Linked DNA regions of Stegostoma tigrinum. The protein of the gene in region 2 interacts with the protein of the main gene of each other region in a pairwise test. Links are inferred from orthologs where the notes say so. Each region holds a gene or a part of one and is shown on either strand. Other genes may lie near its edges. The genes, in order: grap2a and garem.

Region 1 (3,922 bases), on a different chromosome or scaffold from region 2:
TTTTACAACTTAAAGATTTTTGTTTCTGCCTCTTTTGGAATATTATGATCATTTTAAGAAGCAATTAACACAAAGAGCTGAACATGTCGGCAAAATAACTGCATTGGGAAAAATCATGTTTCTCGTGTTCACTTGAATTACAGAAACCCTCAATGGTGGAAAGAGGCCGTTTGGCCCGTCAAAGCCTGTAACAACCCTCCAAATAACATCCCACCCAGACCTACTCCCCCACCCTACCCCCATAACCGTGCAAGTACTGTGGCTGACCCACCTAAGCTGCACAGCCACGGGGAAACTTACCCCGGCCAATCCACCCTAACCTCTGCATCTTTGGAGCCCCAGTGTTCTATCTCATGCACCGTAGCAGCCTTTCTGAAGTATCCACTTCTTCCTGAGTGGCACCAGAGATTTTGAATCATGTTGTGCATCAAACAACCTTCCCACCCAGTCCATCACCTCCACCACCACCTACCCCACCCCCCCCCAACCATCTCTCTCAAAAAGACCCACGTTTATGGGGTGTACAAGCACAACAGTGAGAAATGAGAAATTTTTACCATCAAAACCTCCCAACACTCCACCTCCACAGTGTCCTCTCTAACCCTGGGGTGGGGGCCGCTCCCAGATCCTCAAATCGTACCCCAGTTAATGGAAACAGCAGGGGGTGATGGCAGAGGATGGGGAGACAACATACACAAATAGGCGACGGGTCTTTCAGATTAAAGATCCCCAACTCAAAAACCTGCTCACGTTTTCATTTTGATGCCTTTCCACGAACGTAAGAATAGGTGGCGGGTAGGGAATGACTGGGATTATCCAGGTGACAGAAAACACCAATCCTAGGTTCTCCTCAGGTTTTTCACTGTGAGTGCATGGCCTGGTTTGAGAAGTTTGCTTATTTTCGTTTTGGCCAACTCTGCGACCGCAGGCAGGATGTCAGAGAAGTCAGCTCCACTGACAAAGTCAAAAATTCATCTCCACCTGAAGGATAACACAGTGAGGGAGCTGGAGGAACACGGTGAGGAAGCTGGAGGAACACAGTGAGGAAGCTGGAGGAACACGGTGAGGAAGCTGGAGGAACATGGCGAGGAAGCTGGAGGAACACAGTGAGGGAGCTGGAGGAACACAGTGAGGGAGCTGGAGGAACACGGTGAGGAAGCTGGAGGAACACAGTGAGGAAGCTGGAGGAACACGGTGAGGAAGCTGGAGGAACACGGTGAGGAAGCTGGAGGAACACAGTGAGGGAGCTGGAGGAACACTGTGAGGAAGCTGGAGGAACACGGTGAGGGAGCTGGAGGAACATGGTGAGGGAGCTGGAGGAACACGGTGAGGAAGCTGGAGGAACACGGTGAGGGAGCTGGAGGAACACGGTGAGGGAGCTGGAGGAACACAGTGAGGAAGCTGGAGGAACACGGTGAGGAAGCTGGAGGAACACAGTGAGGGAGCTGGAGGAACACGGTGTGGAAGCTGGAGGAACACAGTGAGGAAGCTTGAGGAACACGGTGTGGAAGCTGGAGGAACACAGTGAGGAAGCTGGAGGAACACGGTGAGGAAGCTGGAGGAACACGGTGAGGAAGCTGGAGGAACACAGTGATGAACCTGAAGAACACGGTGTGGGAGCTGGAGGAACACGGTGAGGAAGCTGGAGGAACACAGTGAGGAAGCTGGAGGAACACGGTGTGGAAGCTGGAGGAACACGGTGAGGTAGCTGGAGGAACACGGTGAGGGAGCTGGAGGAACACAGTGAGGAAGCTGGAGGAACACGGTGAGGGAGCTGGAGGAACACGGTGTGGAAGCTGGAGGAACACGGTGAGGAAGCTGGAGGAACACAGTGAGGAAGCTGGAGGAACACGGTGAGGAAGCTGGAGGAACACGGTGAGGGAGCTGGAGGAACACGGCGAGGAAGCTGGAGGAACACGACTGCTGCCTGGCCTGCTGTGTCCCTCCGGCTCCCCCACGCTGTGCTATCTCTAACGCCAGCATCTGTAGGTCTTACGATCTCTGAGTTACCTTAAGGATGTCGTCTTTCTTGAAGCTCAGCTCATCCTCTCCAGCTCCGTTGAACTCGTACTTGGCCACAGCTTCCATCCCCCCTGACTGGAGTCCCACTGGTCAGAGATGGACTGCAAAACCTTCAAGTGAGAAAACAGCAAGGAATCTCCTTTGGTTGAGCTGTTCTGGGAGTAGTGTGTGTCTGTGTGTACACTGCAGGAGATGATGGTTGGAGCGGGGCGGTGGGTTGGGAGGGAAGTGATAGAGCTGGGGGAGGAGACAGGGTGGGAGGGGGAGGGGGGAGTTGCAGAAGCATGAGTTACCTTTTCTCAACGACGTTCAAACTCTGGTTGGTGGAAGGTCCCGAATTTTCGTTGTTGTAAAAGCTGCCTTAATAAATTGGCAGGTAGAGAGAGATGTTTCTAGCGCAGCGCGACACCCCTCTCGTCTGCTGTTCGTCAGACTGTCGTTCAAATAAAATCGAAGCCAATTTCTTCTTGCGCTCCGGGAAAACCACAACCTAGAATTCTGCAAGGCGGGGTGGGGGGGGGCGGGGTGTTGTGTGTGTGTGGGACTGGGGGGTGTTGTGTGTGTGTGGGACTGGGGGGTGTTGTGTGCGTGTGGGACTGGGGGGTGTTGTGTGTGTGTGGGACGGGGGGGTGTTGTGTGTGTGTGGGACTGGGGGGTGTTGTGTGCGTGTGGGACGGGGGGGTGTTGTGTGCGTGTGGGACTGGGGGGTGTTGTGTGCGTGTGGGACGGGGGGGTGTTGTGTGCGTGTGGGACTGGGGGGTGTTGTGTGCGTGTGGGACGGGGGGGTGTTGTGTGCGTGTGGGACTGGGGGGTGTTGTGTGCGTGTGGGACGGGGGGGTGTTGTGTGTGTGTGGGACGGGGGGGTGTTGTGTGCGTGTGGGACGGGGGGGTGTTGTGTGCGTGTGGGACTGGGGGGTGTTGTGTGTGTGTGGGACGGGGGGGTGTTGTGTGCGTGTGGGACTGGGGGGTGTTGTGTGCGTGTGGGACTGGGGGGTGTTGTGTGTGTGTGGGACGGGGGGGTGTTGTGTGCGTGTGGGACGGGGGGGTGTTGTGTGCGTGTGGGACGGGGGGGTGTTGTGTGCGTGTGGGACTGGGGGGTGTTGTGGGGCTGGGGCGGGTGTTGTGTGTGTGTGGGACTGGGGGGTGTTGTGGGGCTGGGGCGGGTGTTGTGTGTGTGTGGGACTGGGGGGTGTTGTGTGTGTGTGGGACTGGGGGGTGTTGTGTGTGTGGGGCTGGGGCGGGTGTTGTGTGTGTGTGGGACTCGGGGGGGTGCTGTGTGTGGGGCTGGGGGGGTGTTGTGTGTGTGTGGAACTGGGGGGGTGTTGTGTGTGTGGGACTGGGGGGCTGTTGTGTGTGTGTGGGACTGGGGGGCTGTTGTGTGTGTGGGACTGGGGGGCTGTTGTGTGTGTGTGGGACTGGGGGGCTGTTGTGTGTGTGGGACTGGGGGGCTGTTGTGTGTGTGTGGGACTGGGGGGCTGTTGTGTGTGTGGGGCTGGGGGATGTTGTGTGTGTGGGCCGGAGGGGGGGGGACTCGAACAGCTTCTCTCCCTGCCGACACTCTCACACTAAAATGTTTCAAAGCAGGACTCACACAGGACTGGCCTGCACTGGGTCAAAACGGGGACTCTCCCCTTTGTCAACATGTGGAATTCCAGCCCCACTGTCAGAATCTGCTGCTCGGAAATCGGCTTCTTTTTCGATGGCAGGTTTTTTTGGTGCATTCAAAGTCCTGAGCGCAGCTGAGCTGCTTCCTGTGGCGCTGAGCATTGATGTGAGTTTCACATGTAAAGGAGGGCTGCGGGCAAAAATTGCACCGAAGAAAATTCATTTCAATTGCAAACTAATCGGTTCACTCAGACAAATATCACACTTTGGAGGGGAGTGTTTGCAGCAGAACTGG
Region 2 (3,922 bases):
TAACTATTACTCCTGTACAGTTACACATTTATCTATTCATTTTTATAGAATTGGAAAAGATGAATGTCCCACAAAATCAAGTCAGTTCATCAACAATACTTTGTATTAGTCTATATAAAACTACAGAGCTGGTGTCAGAAACAACCAAGACAATACTTTTCCAGATCAAAAACTGGACTCGGATGCAAACTATAACATTTAGAGAAACACCCACAAGATTCACAGAAATCACTGATTCGGTTCTAAAAACATTCTGAATGGACTGCCAAAATATAAAAACATCCCCCTATATAAACTATTCAAAATAAGTTTAAATTGATTACAAAACATACGTATACCTAAAATCATTAATTATTCTAGTTTTATGCTGCCCGGCTTATTAATTTTTGGCTTCAAATCAGAGATCAATCTTTTTGCAGATAGTGAGCTGGTTGCTACACTTTTTGAAAATACATTTGTCAAAAAATGTTTTTAAAAATCCATTAGGCCTTAAAAAGGCTGCATAGAAATTCTAGTACAAATGCCCTCATTGTTTTTGCACCAAGAAAAGCTTTCAGCAAGTTGAGCTACTTGAATTACATTTCTCGATTTTTTTTAATAACCTTTGGTTTACAAGAATACTTATACGCTTTTCCAGCTCATCTTGCTGAAACAAGAGTCATCAAAAGCAACTAGTTCACTTCTGGGGTAAATTATCCATAATCCTTTTTGCAATGAAAAGTATTCTAAAAATATGACAAGGAGTTGGGGATTGTGTTTCATATTTAAGGCTGAATTGAGATATCTAGTTAACAAACAAAGTGCTGGAGAAACTCAGCAGACCTGGCAGCATCTGAGAAGAATTTCAAATCCAATAAAACACAAGAGCAGGCATTCAGCCCACTTTGTCCTTCAGAACACGATGCCATTCTAAACTAATCCATTCCACTTACACAGTCACGTATAACTCCAAGCCTGTGAGATTTATTATCTGCATACCTTACTTAGGCCACTAACTAATACAAACCGAATAAGTGAACTTCCATTGCTATTATGCGATTCTAGGAACTTTAACACATTAATACAGTATCGCATATTTAAGATAACTATAATGTCAGAAATAATATTGTCTGTTCAACTCTCTCCACAGATGCTGTTCAACTTAAATTTCTCCAGAACTCTATTTCACATCTATATCATCCACAATACTCTATTGTTTCTACTTGCTAAGAATATCAAATGCAAAACTATCAAAATGTATTTACATCACTGTCATTGTTTCTCAGATTTTAGTCACAAGTTAGGATTGAGTTTTAGTTTTGAGTATTTTTAACCCTTCTTTAGAATTTTAGACTTTTGGCTCAAGTGGAACAGAAAATCATTCACTCTCAGAGTCAAAGATGGAATAAATAAAAATAAATAATAAATTTAACACTAAAACATGTTAATGGCTAATATAATTTTGATGTTCGTTGATTCTAGCACAGTAACAGCACTTGACAAGATAATTGTTTCCTACATAATACACTGATTTTACTCTCAATTAAGAGACATAGAGAAACGCCTTACTACTCCAATCTTCAAATTTCCTGAACTTGGATTGACTCAAGGGATAAAGCCCTATCAACTATCACACTGTTTATTCAAGAGGATTCCTTTATAACCAAATTCACTTTAGAACTGCAGAGTTAGGTGGGACGTGTTATAATATTGTATATCATCCACAAACAATACGGCAGAGAGCAAAAAAAAATCTACAGAATACGGAAACAACGTCTACTTCCGGCACACTGTCTTTCACCTTTGGACTGCAGTACACTGATTTATTAGAAAACTAGTATTTGGTTCAGTTACCAAATATCCTGCGGGTTATATCTTGCTCAGGCCATTCGGCAGACCAACTGCGGCTACAAAATTTACAACTTTTAAAGTATTTGTATATATGACCGTAGTTTGACAACATTCTACAAAACTTTCTCATGACTTCCAGGAACACACAGCTGACCACAAAGCCTACTAAAAGATAAATTATGTCTCTACACAGAATTTTAAAACGAAACACGTAAATACGCTGCCTTCTAAACTAAATCAGCTCAAATCCTCCCTATCGTGTATCAACCTTTACAACTACAGTACGATGTTTCCAGACACAAATTCGAACAAATATAAAAGTTTAGATATCGATCCAACTTTCACGTAAATAGACTTTGAAATTGCTGCTTCTATTTATTATTCTCAATACTGGCCATTTGAAAACTGCGCAACGAGCGCTGAGAAGATCTACACAAATCCCATTCCCGATCTTTTTGCAGATATTTGATATAAGTTTTAATGACTGTGCTTGACGTTTCGAGACCGTGGCCTCAGGGACTGATCCAACCGGCCCCTGACCTCGGCTGGGGACTCAGCCTTCCCCTTTACCCAGACCCCGGCCCGGACGCTGAGCTTCCTCACCGCTCTCCAGCCTGACGAGCTGCGGTAACCGGTAGGTGCTGACCAGCAGGTCCAGCGGCCTCGACACGCCGCTCCACTCAATCTCCTTGGTGCCGCTCAGTGTCTCCATGGCGCCCGGCCCCGGTGCTCGATCCCGGCCGGGGGCGGGGGCGGAGGCGGGTGGCGCTCAGCCGCAGGTTTTCCCGGGGGTTGGGCTGCGGCCGCTTGCACTGCTGTCGAGCTGGGCTTGCCGCCGGGCTCCCGCAGCGCCATTACCAGGAGTCACACGCTTCACTCCGGGAAGCGGCCGACCTGCCACTCGCACCAAACGACAGGACACAGCAGCGACAGCGGCCCATCCCGGCTCCGCTCCCAAGCGGGGCCCCTCCCCCGAGGCTCTCCACCAGCCCCGAACCAGCCCCTCACCACACAAACCGCCCCCTTCGTCTGCAAGTCCCCTTCCTACCGCAACGCTCCAAACTACAGCCCGTCACCCAATACCACCTCCCCATTCCGCCCGGTTCAACCCCACCCCATTCCTTCTCAGCTAAAAGATTTTTAATTGATAATGTTATGTTGAATGCGAGGATTTCTACGTTTGTAATTTGGTAGAGAGGTCATTATTTATCAATTTCTTCTTGTCTTGGTTTTCTGGTCTGTTTTTCCCAAATTCCTTTACGTCGATTTTAATAGTTGTTGCGTCTAATCAAAATCTAGGTTATAAGTAATAGTTTTAATTTGCTGTTTATTCTTGCCGTATGTGCTTTCTGAATAGCCCCAGATGTGCTGTTAAGTGGATGGCTAAATTAATTTCCATAATTGCGGATGTTAGTGATTCTTTTTCAAATGTTCTAATTTCATTCCAGCAGGATTTAAGTCGTCTCTCCACATCAAGGGTGGAGTCAGTGAGTCAGCTTTTATTTGTACGGCAAACAATCAGACTTGTTCTGATTGACCCAGACTTAAGGTGCAATTTGAAAAGAAATAAATAGTTCCACTGTTTAACTAATGATGGTTCAATTCTGCACAGAATTAAGTGAGAGCTCACCTCGCTACTGGTCATTACACTCAACACTGCAACTTTTGGAAATGTGGCTATTTCTTGTTAGCTGTAGATCACTCTATTTATCTATATATAATTATTTTTCCATTTATTGAAATGTTGGGTCAATTTGAAAATGAACGGCCATTTCTCAAATTATTGTGTGGGAAATTTTAGCATATCTATATTTTATATAGCAACATATACATTCTTGCTAAATCAAAATGATCAAATAAGAACAATAAAGAAATGCAAATGAAACAAAAATATAAAGTGTTATAACCATCTGATGTTTTGAATTTTTTAAAATTGAGCTCATGATGCCCGTTGTAAAAGCTTGTGCACACAGGATGAGTCAAATCTCCCCTTCAATGCAGCAACAGTTCTGAGATTTTAATGCGTGTGTTTCACTTTTTTTTGGATAGTTTTTGTATTGCAAATCTAAATAATGTGGGCCAGTGCTAGTTG

The links.
Region 1: the proteins of garem (region 2) and grap2a interact in binary tests that used the Homo sapiens proteins (3 or more experiments, as listed by UniProt). The link is inferred for Stegostoma tigrinum from reciprocal best matches to the Homo sapiens genes GAREM1 and GRAP2.

Annotation. Positions count from the first base shown.
Region 1 is NC_081391.1:24,717,391-24,721,312, forward strand, and holds the start of grap2a (GRB2-related adapter protein 2a), read right to left. Parts: upstream 2,478-3,922; 5' UTR 2,316-2,477; intron 2,255-2,315; exon of another isoform or gene 2,133-2,254; 5' UTR 2,089-2,132; coding exon 2,011-2,088; intron 1-2,010. UniProt on the Homo sapiens protein: Interacts with SLP-76 to regulate NF-AT activation. Binds to tyrosine-phosphorylated shc.
Region 2 is NC_081358.1:74,803,727-74,807,648, reverse strand, and holds the start of garem (GRB2-associated and regulator of MAPK protein 1), read right to left. Parts: upstream 2,838-3,922; 5' UTR 2,543-2,837; coding exon 2,434-2,542; intron 1-2,433.